Linked DNA regions of Neodiprion lecontei. Each later gene encodes a partner of the first gene's protein in a complex. Links are inferred from orthologs where the notes say so. Each region holds a gene or a part of one and is shown on either strand. Other genes may lie near its edges. The genes, in order: sterol regulatory element-binding protein cleavage-activating protein and protein TRC8 homolog.

The links.
Region 2: sterol regulatory element-binding protein cleavage-activating protein (region 1) and protein TRC8 homolog share a complex: the UniProt entries of both Homo sapiens proteins name them as parts of the SCAP-SREBP complex. The link is inferred for Neodiprion lecontei from reciprocal best matches to the Homo sapiens genes SCAP and RNF139.

What each region holds. Positions count from the first base shown.
Region 1 is NC_060263.1:41,192,584-41,197,712, reverse strand, and holds the start of sterol regulatory element-binding protein cleavage-activating protein, read right to left. Parts: upstream 3,216-5,129; 5' UTR 2,623-3,215; intron 2,455-2,622; exon of another isoform or gene 2,074-2,454; intron 1,222-2,073; 5' UTR 1,116-1,221; coding exon 1,000-1,115; intron 782-999; coding exon 548-781; intron 465-547; coding exon 284-464; intron 83-283; coding exon 1-82. UniProt on the Homo sapiens protein: Escort protein required for cholesterol as well as lipid homeostasis.
Region 2 is NC_060262.1:4,895,626-4,902,341, reverse strand, and holds protein TRC8 homolog, read right to left. Parts: upstream 4,885-6,716; coding exon 4,593-4,884; intron 4,143-4,592; coding exon 3,772-4,142; intron 3,562-3,771; coding exon 2,158-3,561; 3' UTR 536-2,157; downstream 1-535. Other genes in the region: ATP-dependent RNA helicase abstrakt, read left to right, coding at 6,638-6,673. UniProt on the Homo sapiens protein: E3-ubiquitin ligase; acts as a negative regulator of cell proliferation through mechanisms involving G2/M arrest and cell death.

The DNA.
Region 1 (5,129 bases):
TAGGATAACGCTTTATTCCGGTCTCTTTCAGGCTCATGCCAAACATTATTTCTGCAAGGCTGATCTTGCTCTTTTGCAGATTCTACACAAACATTAGAGAATTATATTTCAAGCGTCAATCATTTCAAGCTATTGGTTGCACCAGTATTGTTGGGATATCGATAGAGATTTTTACATTTTTCACAAGTTCCTCTAAGCCCCCAACCTTGCCGGAGAGTTAGATTCAATCGCTGATATGACATGCGTGAGAAAGGAAAAGATTGAGTTTTTGATAGTTAGTTACCTGATACGAGTAAATAGTGTTGATAAGATTGGTGTCCTGATTGAAGAGCTCCAAACTTTGCTGCCATAGATTTGCAGGTGACAAAACAAGGCAGTTGTATTCCGGTAGAACATCTGGTTTTTTGGCATTTCTTCGTTTCACAGCCTCGACGTGGAGGCAAACCTGACCAAGGGTCTTTAGTCTGAAATAACAAATGTGCATGGAAAGTTGGGCAACTAATCTTTTCTGTAGGAACAAAATCCATTGATAAAGTTGCATCGTTACGTTTCTGGGTCCTGATAGTTTCTAATGATTTCCAATAAATTAAATATTTCATAAAGCGGTCCTCTGAATGCATCCGTCAAGCTGAGGTCTTCGGTCCATGGGACAACTCCCACCCTCAATGTTACTTGTTGCACGTATAACGCAGGGGTTTCCGAACCGTTAACAAACACCTCTGTTTGGTTTATTATTGTTCGAGGAGCATTTCCTGGCATAGGAAGATTCACTAGAGGATAGCTACAAGAAAATTGCATAAATATCAATCGCAGTACTGATTTGCTAAAAACATTTGTTATATATCAGTTTCTCGATATGCAGTATTTCCAAACATTCAGATACGGTCAAGCAGATAAACGTTTTTTTTGCCCCGAATGCTTGGACTAATCTTTCAACAAACTGTTAATGACATTATGTTACCGATAAGATATACCAGAATGATAAATATAATGACTAACCAGCATAGCAAAACGACAGATATTGCTAATGAAATTACGGCAACGGGATGCGATGAACAGAATAGGCCGTGGGCATAATAAAGCCCTGCCACTCTGTCCGGCAGGCTGCGGGACATTTCACATCAAGGACACGTTGCCAACATATCCTAGGCAGAGACAAATTTCCAGCGTCACTTCTCCGCTGATAACATATAGGCTTGGATTTAGTGACTTGTTGAATATCTGTAATAAAAAAGTTACTTGACTTGGCGATCATTTAAAAATAGAAGAAATAAACAAGGCAAGACTGCAGTTCAATCGTCCCACCTTGAATGATCAGATAAATTTTCATTGAATTAGTGTACTTCAAGATGTTATGTCTTTCTTAGGAAATACTTTAACTTATATTAACAAAATACAAGAAATTTCAGAAGGAGAATCTTCAGTGACGTTTTATATTTTGTTTTTAATTGCATTTTGATAGAATACCACACATGGTTACGAGATTCTGAAGAAATTGTTGAACGCACAGGGTTAGAAGCCGGCACGCTGGTTGAAAATGCACACACACACACAAGAGTTTAAATTAAAGAATATTATGTTTCGAACAAAATTCAATTTTTGAATAAAAGTGATTTTAGCAAGAGCATTGTATACATTGAAGCGTTAATTGAAAATCAACATTTTCCAAAGCCTCTGAGTGAAGCGTAGCATCGATATTGACAAAAATAGAAAACTACAGCGGGTCAATTTGTCACAAGATAAGTAAACCACTTTAAATCCGTAGATATTTTTGGAGCTTTTAGCTGAATAAGTGGAACATCCTCGACGGGCTGCATTGCGGTTAGTCAAATATTATCTAGAAGTGATAAAGTAGTTGGGCTCGGTTGGAATCCGTTGGAATTCCGGTTCTGAATAAAACCTAAATATGACGCAATTACGTTTCGCCTCGGGTATTAAAAACGAAATAACGTTTATATGTATATACATGTGGAAAGAATCCGAATCGCTGGGAGCGCGGATTTATCTTTGCGGCTATCGATGTTAAACGCAGCGAAAATCCGGGTGAAGGGAGGAGGGATGAAATGTACTTACAGGCGTTAAAAATACCCCACGACGACAAAACGTCGACGCGACACGTATTCTCTCCAAACTTTTCTCCGCCAGTGGGACAGAGAGATATCCGTCGTTGTCCGCTTTGAGGTTATGTTCGCAGTGTGGTTATGTTGTGTTATGTTACCAGGTATGCTTGCCGTGCGGTAGGCAGTAAACCGTCGACGGCAAGTCTGCTCGACCAAAACGCACACTAATAAATCATTTGATAAAGCTAACGCGTTCAATCTTCATCCGTATGAATTTTCCACTATGTCTAAAAATCGAAGACGTCATATTTAATTCGGCGAAACGCCGAGCTACGACGACGCGATGCTCGTGACAAGATGCCCAATTACGTATGTTACTGCGTGTGTCACCGCGCGTGAATAGTTAGTTTAAAAACTTGGAGTTTCAAGGTGCACCGCACAGGAAAGAAGCCAATATTCAATGTGAAACTTCACTCGTGCACCGAGGCGAAATACCGTAATAGGGACTCATACATGCGTAGCGGAATACATACTGTACGTCGGGTATGCACCTGTATCATACCTATAAGTCACCGACAGTCATTTATTTTTAAACCATTTATCAGGCACGAGAAGTCCGATTTCGTTGTGACGAGTAGCAGCGTCCGCGCACAAACACCGTCAATAACTATATTCACCGCGTGTAAGGTGCGGAAATATCGAAATGAAAACCATCGGAGGATAATTTTGTCTCCCAGTGACAGAGACAAATATATTCAATCGAATCACTCCTCGTCGCACGCACGTTACGGCGTGAATACACGCGCACGCAACGCACGCATACGAAAGTAGAACCTTGAATCGGTGCCCTCAGAATCGGTAGAGGCATGAAACGCAACTGCACGTTAACGCCCGAATGATAAAATTAAGTAACGCGAGTAGCTAGCGGGCGCGAAGCGACGCATAAATATGCCTTCGGAGCTTCGGTTTTGCTGCTGAATTAGTTGCCGTTGCTCCGAAACCAACTGCGACGATTTATTGACACACGCATGTTACCGCCTCTCGCCTTTCACGCGAGATCCCGCCTATTTACGAGAAAATGCGTGTGTGCGTTGCTTATGACGTACGTTATTTTAATTACGCGTTGTATAGTTATCGATACGCGACCTGCAGCGGTCAAATCTACACTACATACGTACGTACAACGGCCTGCACGGTGGCAAGGCAAAATTTTCATACATCGATGCATTCGTAGATCGTTATATTGATATGCAATGTAAGCGCTCGTACTCGGTGCATCGTTATGTGGGTATTACGCACAGAGGAAAGAATTCACCGCGGAATGATTTATTTGATCGAGAAAAAAAATCATGCCAAGTACGTCAGGGGCGTGTACGATTGTGGCGATCAATCAGGGGCTAGGTCAGACTGCTCGCTTAGATTTATAAAATCCGAATGGTATAACTTCTGCTGTTAGATTTTGTTTGAAAGGCAATAGACTATCCTCTTCGCAAGAAAGATGAGGGAAATAATTAATTACATATATTTATATTGGTAGAACTGAAATTATGGAGCCGATACAAGTTTGTTCTATAGTGCCTAACTATTAAAGGTTCTCAGAATAAATGGAACTGTATATTTGAATCAGTGAAAATTCACTGACTCCCAGTGACAATTTTTTTTACTGTGCATACACTGATTTTTTCCAGTGGTATATACTTATGACTGATCGATGTTCAGAGAGAAGTCGAGAAACAGTTAGACTTCTGCTGTATTTTAATCCTTTCATGCGTATATTCTTTTTGTTTTTTTAGATGCGATTCGCTTTAAATTTTACATACACGGGCTTTTGGGTCGTCGATTATGAATCTGAATCCAAAATTCGACTATGCAAAATAGCGGATCCAATATGGCGGACAGACAAGAAGAAACAAGAAGAAACATTTTGAAAAATTTCTGTAGAACTTTCTAGTGTGTATTAAGTCTGTGTACAAAATTTGCATTCATTTGCATGGTAGATTAGTAGAAAATGTTGTTTTTTTTTCGTGGAAAAGTACGAATTTCGACCATTTGTTTACATGTGCTATCTTTGCAATAAGTAAATAAATAAATTATACATTTTTTTTTGTACTTGGAAATATTTCAGGGACCATGCGGAACAAAAAACTCGATAGTTGTTACCAAAAAGTAGTTTAGTAAATAAAAAGTTGCAAAAAAAGATAGGACGCTGAGCGTCCCAACGTGAATTAAAGGGTTAAATATGCTATTTCGACGTCTTCTTGCCTCGTTTTGTGCGGGTTTCAAGATAACTTTCCGTTAAGCACGCACTTATAAGTGCAGATGGAAATCCTTGCGAAATAGATCTATGCGTAAAAAACAAACAAAGAAAGCAAAACATGGTCATCTATCTCCTCTATCTTTTTATTCCTTACATTGGTACCGTACTCATATTTTATTGTGGCCAGGTGTTCACGATTATATGCGAAACACATTCATTTTATAAGAACTTTCGGTCGATTGAAATTTGTAGTCTAAAACGAATTTATTCAAGCGAATGGTTTGTTGCTGTATGCTACGAATTATAGTATCGAAGTGTGTTTGAAGTTTAACAAAAAAAAAATTTGAAACATTTGTCCTGGAAAAAAATGATGAACACCTGGTACAATTTTTGCTTCACAGTGATTCGAATGTAGTAGAGGTGGAAATATTTCAATTTCTCAAGACTTTTTTCGCATAAGAATAATCAATTCGTACATAACTACTTATGATTTATGCACGACACTTTCGATTATTTCAAGTATTGACCTATCCCTGAACTGAAAACAATGTTTATACGAATATTTCGAATCTCTTGAGTACCCAATATATCTGCACAACCTGATAATCTGGGGACTTTATCATTTTACACATTAACAGATATATTATCATCCTCGTGTAGTCCAGAGTGAATCATATCAATAGAATTGCGTACGCGGACAGTAAATTGCGGCCTTGATTTTGCGAGAATTTTTGCAATCAGTTGCGACTGACTAAAGTCAAGTTTGCATTACTTCACTTACGATTAGGACCGATATCTATACCGCAAGTTTT
Region 2 (6,716 bases), on another chromosome or scaffold:
TTATTTTGCGATACAGAGAGTACTTTCACAGTTTGAAGATAATGCGAATTACACGTTGTTTAAATATCGTCAATTACGCGGTAGTTGGTTTCTTTTTTTTTTTTTTTTTGCTTTTGCATAATTCTGGAGAAATGAAATATTTTTATAAATATAAAAGAGGGTTTACGATTCATTGACGTTCATTTATAAAATATATTGTTTATTATACATATAAGATATTATATTTCTCGCTTAATTATATCTATCAAAATATGATATTATTATTATTATTATTTTTATTACTGAAAGGTGCGATATAGAGCATATTTATGTGTATGCGTGATGGGTATACAGGAATATAAACGTACTACTACCTATAGTTTGTATTTATGTTTAGTATACAATGGTACTTGCGCGAAATGAAACGCATATACGTTAATAATTGTTTCGGGTATGAACGAATCAGGGACTCGGATAATATGAAAATGAAACATATAAATTCACAAAACAGAAAAGAAACAAATCAAAGGTCTATACGTACCTATTGGTTATTTACAACCACCGGTTAATATTAGTCGTATTTTTGTTTTTTTGGTGTTTTTTTTTTTTTTTGTGCTTAGCATATATATACACATACGAATACCCATCAAAAATTAAACTTTACACATTATACATTATGCCTATATTTGCTGCACTTGTTGTATTTAAATGAATACACAAATACAGGTGAAACGTGTGTTTATACGGAGATTAAAACACACGTAATAATACGTATCGTATTGCGGTACGAATTTCTTTTCGATTGGTTTTAATTTTTTTTTGTCTTTAACATTTCACACTGTGTTGTTTGACTCGTTTCACATTTCTCGTTCTCTCTTCTTTTTGGTCGTTTTATCGTTACTCAATGCATTTTCTTTCCTTACCTCATCGGTCATTCTGTATTAGATACGTAAATTAATTCATCGATGACAAGTAGGTAGAACGTAACATGTAAAGTAAATTATTATTTTTTTCCAACAACATCGTGGTTTATTCCCGTTAATCGATCAAGGAATAATCATTTATACGTATATTATATGGGCTACCGACGAAGATTTGGTATGAGTAAAAAGGAAGAAAACTAATTATCGTCTTTATTTAGTGTAAAAAAGAATGAAATAAAGACGCAAATCGCGTTTTAAAGTAAAGCGAGGTAAGGATTGTTCCTACAAGAATATTTACTACAATATAAGAAAAGTGTAGAAAGAAAAAAAATGTTGAAACTTTTCTTTTTTTACAGAAAAATTCCATTTTCGGAATTTAGGAAGTACCGCGAGAGAAATTACGGATTGAGAGAGAGAGAGACACATGTAAGTAGCAATTGTATAGAAATGTAAGCTCATGTTATACATAATATAATTAAGGCGATACTATACGATCACAGAATAATTAATCCAAATTAATAATTGACGTACATGTATAGCGGCTTACATTTATAATAAAGTATTGGATAGATTTCTAAATTATTATCATTATTATTATTTTTTTTATATGAGTATATAATAATAATAATAATGATGATGATGATAATATACATAATATACATGATATAAAATATGTGGAAGTTAGTTCCTATAATTTCTATCGTCGTTATTATCTCTATTTACCTACCTTATAGTTACATAAATAATAAATTGTTTCATTTTCTTCGTTTCTTGTTTTCCTTTCTTTCGTCGCTAGTTTTCTATTTTTAACGGTATTTTTCGTATTTTTTTTCTTCTTCGATTTGGTAGGATTGTATGACATACAAGAGTTTAAAATGTATGGACATGGCGAATTATCCATCTATCTAAACCCGGAAGTATGATAAAGTGTGATACGAAACGTGTCTAATAATAGTAATAATATTAATAACAATAACAACAACAATAATAATAATAATAATAATAAACTTGCACATCGATTGTTGATTCTGAGGAACGGAACAGAGGGGAAGAAAAAAGACAAAAAATTAAATATAGTAAAAGAAACAATAAGAAAGAAGGAAGAAAAGAACAGTAGCCTTGGTCAAATTACACTTGGACTTGAAACGATACCCTCGCACAGTGTGACAATATCAAACTCCATTGTATAACATGAAATAACAATATAATTTATTTTTTATAATAATTATATCACAATATAGCTAGACGTTAAGCTTCACCTGTCTTCGTTAAGCTGTTCAACGTATCGTCTATAGTTCGGACTTCGCAATCCGTTCCTCTGCAGTCCCTGGTTCTGGTACAACTCATCGATTTCATCTTCGTTTCGCCTCTCCTGATCAGTGAGAGCAGAGACATTGTCTTTGCTGTCTTGCGGACTGTCAACTTTGTACAAAATATCATGGCACAGCGGACAGCGATCCTGAACGTACAACCACTTTCTTAGACAAACGCCGTGGAAGTAGTGATTGCACCTGGTTATTTTAGCGCTTGACATTTCCTGGTAGCAAATAGCGCAAACGTCGTCGAGCTGCATAAGCTGCTCGGTCCTCGCCTCTGGCAGCGAGTTTATCTTGTTCACGGCCGTTCTCCTCTTCATGAATACGCTCCATCCGGCCTTTGCTTCGCACCATATGTTGAAGTAGGCGTGCACACACATCATGACTGCTCTTATTAGTCCGCCCGACTCGTACACGAGGATCCATAGGCCGTTGAAGAACAGAAAGATCCCGAATGCAAATTCCACGGTGTTACCGAAGGCGCGTATGTAGTAAACGTAGTCGTCCAATTGTTCCCAGAACGTGTGACGGCACGCGTCGTAAAGGAACAGCGAGTATATCGCCAGCGATACGAGGACTTTTACTATAACCTCTATGCTAAAAGCCGAGACAGCGAGCAGCCAAGTGCTGACCGAGTATTGCGACCACAGCAATACGAGGAGATAAACCGGAAACATAATCAGAAAGGCGCAGACCAACAGTGCTCGGAAGTGCCTGTGAAGAGCGGGATTGTGCGACGCGCTCAGCGACATCAGTAGAGGATTGACTATATTGTGAACAAAGTGGAGAAGCGCTGTGAACAGGAGGCAAAAGTTTCGGCACAATCTTACCAACCGCATTTCTCTGTCCAGACTGGTCAATCCTGTTTGGAGAGCCAGGATGTAGAAAAGAATCGCCGATACCGTTCCGATGCTCTTGCTGTCCTCCTCGTCATCGTTAAGTAATATCCATTGGAAGAAGCAACCGATGTAGTGGCAGATGAACGATATCACGCTCGTCATTCCTAGAACAGCTGTAAGCGTCTCGCAGCCGTTTATCAACAGAGTCCTGACCATCACGTAATACGTGAACGTATCTTCCCCGTAGTGGTTTCCCATTATTTGTATAACTTGCTCGCCCACTCTAAGCATCCAAAAAATCCGCAGAACGCAGGGCACGTTCAGCCGACTCCATTCCGCCTCCACCAACGCCGAGAGACCGTAGCTGCTGATAAACGTTCGAGCGTGCTGGTAACCTGAGTATATGATGCGGCCCATCGCCACCGAGTTGTACCAAATTACGAACTTTGACACTGCGAGCGGAAGCAGGGTTGCGAAGACTGGAGCATGGTTCAGAACTGTAATCTGTGAAACGAAATTTCTAACTGTTAGATGGTAAAAGAAATGCCAAACCGATCATCTTCGTTTTGTTGATAAATTTTCAGGAATGGTTTCAAGGCTGATGCTAAACTTATTGGGCGAAGAAAGTGAATATAAATCGAGGTGACCATGCTAGTCCAAATGTCAACCGTTATTCGAAACACACCATATTTCAATTTCTCAATCGTAACTCACGGGTATCGGAAGAACTGCGAATATGGAAGGAGCCATGAAACTGAAGACGAGAGACTTCTGTATAATGGAAAATCTCGGAGCAAGGTGAACGTAGCAGAAGATAAGGGCGAGAGTGCACTGGAGGATGTAGTTCCGGATGACAACGACTCCCGGTCCGTCAGGATTCAGCACCTTGGGTATATCCAGACACAGCACATCGTCCAGGATACTCGTCGCTGTCTCATTTGCGGTGGCGTACCAGATGACCGCCTTCATGGTGCTGACGTTCGACCAATATGACACGAATATCACACCGACCGATATCAGGTAGAGGTAAACGACGACGAGGTGTTTCTTTTGCAGCATAATGCCGCAAAGTGCTGCCTCGCATGCTGGAATAGAGAGAAATAGAACGTTGCCGGAAAGGAGAAACAAAAAGCGACGAAGCAGCGAAGCGATCTTTCCACGAATCTCTCTATAACTATACATAAGGTAGTTGAAATCATCCAGTGATTTAACGTGATGTACAACAAAACTGAAACGGTTATTGATACTTGCATAGCTACTGTTTGCATTTCTTTTATGCCTCATTTTGATAAAAATACTTCCTTTAATTTGACCTTCTCCTTCATAAATTTTCTAAGCGAGTAAATACCTTCTAAGTGACTTGCAAAGTCAAGTGCCCCACATAATTTATTCATTGACCTGTTTCAGTTACCGCTTTTAAAAACTACAGCAGTGAGCCAAGTTTTAATCGTTGGTTGTGCATAGAACGGAAATAACTGATAGCAGGTTTGTAAAAGGGTAACCGATAATGAGGTTTTTTTACTTTGGCTCCTTACCTAAACAGCACAAGATGAATTTAAAGAGCGTGAGTAAGTACGACTGGTAGATGTGCTGACTCAAGTTTAGCTGGTGGAGCAAACCGACCTCGGGTGTAATGCCAACCAGCGAACCAACAATGGAATCAGGAACGCTGACGACTTTGAATTCATTGTTGACGTCTTCAAGGACTATGTTTTCGCCGGGCAAGCCAAGGCCGATCCTGAGCAGTTCGTCGATAATGAAAAGCGGCGGAACCCTCATAACGACATCGGCGAAATTAAGCGCCTTATTTCTAATGGTGGTCAACATATTTTCCAAATCTTTAAGGACGTCAGAAAGGTCGACTATTTTGCACTTTCTCTTTCCTTGGGTAAGGCTACTTTTTTTTTTTATTATCAACTCTCCATACTTCCAGTCTCTCCCAGATTAGCGAATTTTCTTGTCTTTTTTTTTCTTTTATTCTATCTAGTTTCACTTTCTTCCGTATGATAATAAAATTTCTACAGTTTTCCCCACGACGATACTTCGGTTTAATCGAGAATTATATTTTCCTCAAATTTTGTTAAATTAATGAACCCTGTTGTCATAATTGGCACGGTTACGCTGAGCACTTTCCCTTCGATTTATTTCACAACGATTTTGATTATTTATTAATTTGATCAGTCAAAGGTCGCCTGCTAATTTATTTATTCATGTATTTATGTACACAAAATTCCAGATTATTAATCGAGGTTACAAAACACGCTGCAGTTCTCAGCCTGCCTGCCAGCCAGCAACACCAGCTGCGCATCACCAACCAACCAGCAGGTCTTGACTTTTTAAACTACATGCTATGCAGCAACAGATGGAGCTTGCTGCCTGCGGTGAAAAACTTTCAACCGTACAATAGATGTTTTTTTATTTTCGTTATCTTATCGCGTTAGTATAAATAACGGTTATTGACGAACGAGAGAACGAAAACAAAAGGGAAACGGAGAAAGAGTTTTAGTTGATAAGTACTTTACATAATATACATCGATTTCCTTATTTATTTCTCATATGACGCATTTTTTATTTTTTTTTACACCCACCTCGCATCGCCCGTTAAAATTCTATTTACACGCCGAGTTTGCGCCAGATTTTTCGAATAGTTATTCGTATACAGTCTCGAACTGCGATATGTGCGTGTATGTTATCTTCGCGGAAGATTTCGCCGTCACGATCCGTTTACTCATTCTCATATCGCAGACAGATGAACATGTATCAACCTTTTACGGACGGGCAAAATTTCAGTTAAAATCGACTTTGTGTTAGAACGTGATATTTATGTATGATTTCAATGATTTCAATGATTTGAAGTTCCCAACCTGACTGCTGGATGATATATCGACTAGCCCCGCCGTTAAGAGGTTAAATAATTTCCACTAAATGCACGAAATATTCGTGAGGACCTGTGGGTCCGCGATCGATCACGGGATGGCGGTTTAGTGTGGCGAATCAATTTTTTTCACTCCAACTAGCCAGCCTGTCAAACCCGTCGATTTTATCTTGCAGCAGCTGTCTGTGCAGCTGATGTATACCGCGGTGTTTGTAGCATATAGAGAGTAAACACAGCCGCCATAAATAGCTGTCACTTTGCCGTACGTACTTCTTTTTGACCGACTGAAACGTCACTCGTTGCAATTTGCCGGAAGAAAATAAAACTCACATTTAGGAAAATATTTGCACCCGGAAAATTATGATTCATCTTAATGAATATTTTCACTTCAAATCACTCTGCTACTGATAAATTATTCAATGTGAGAACGGAAAATCATCCGGCAATTCGGTTATTTAGTTTTTCCGAGGTACTTATTTTTGGTTAGTGACAGTTCGGAGTCACGTTCATTCCGTCGGTAATTCAGTCACGTACTTTCGCCCTGCGTTTCATAACCGTATGTTCTTTATTGGTTATGTTTTTCAGTCACAACTCACATCTGACGTTCAGTTTCGTTTGCACTTTATCTCCGTAGTGATAATCTAAATTCAAACGTGGAATCAAATAAACAAACTACAGTGTGAATACTTTCATTCCCTGGGGGCGATGGGAGAACGAAGTGATCGAAGTTCACCTCCAAAGGTGATTGTTTCATTGTTAATAAGCCATATTTACAGGTTGTATC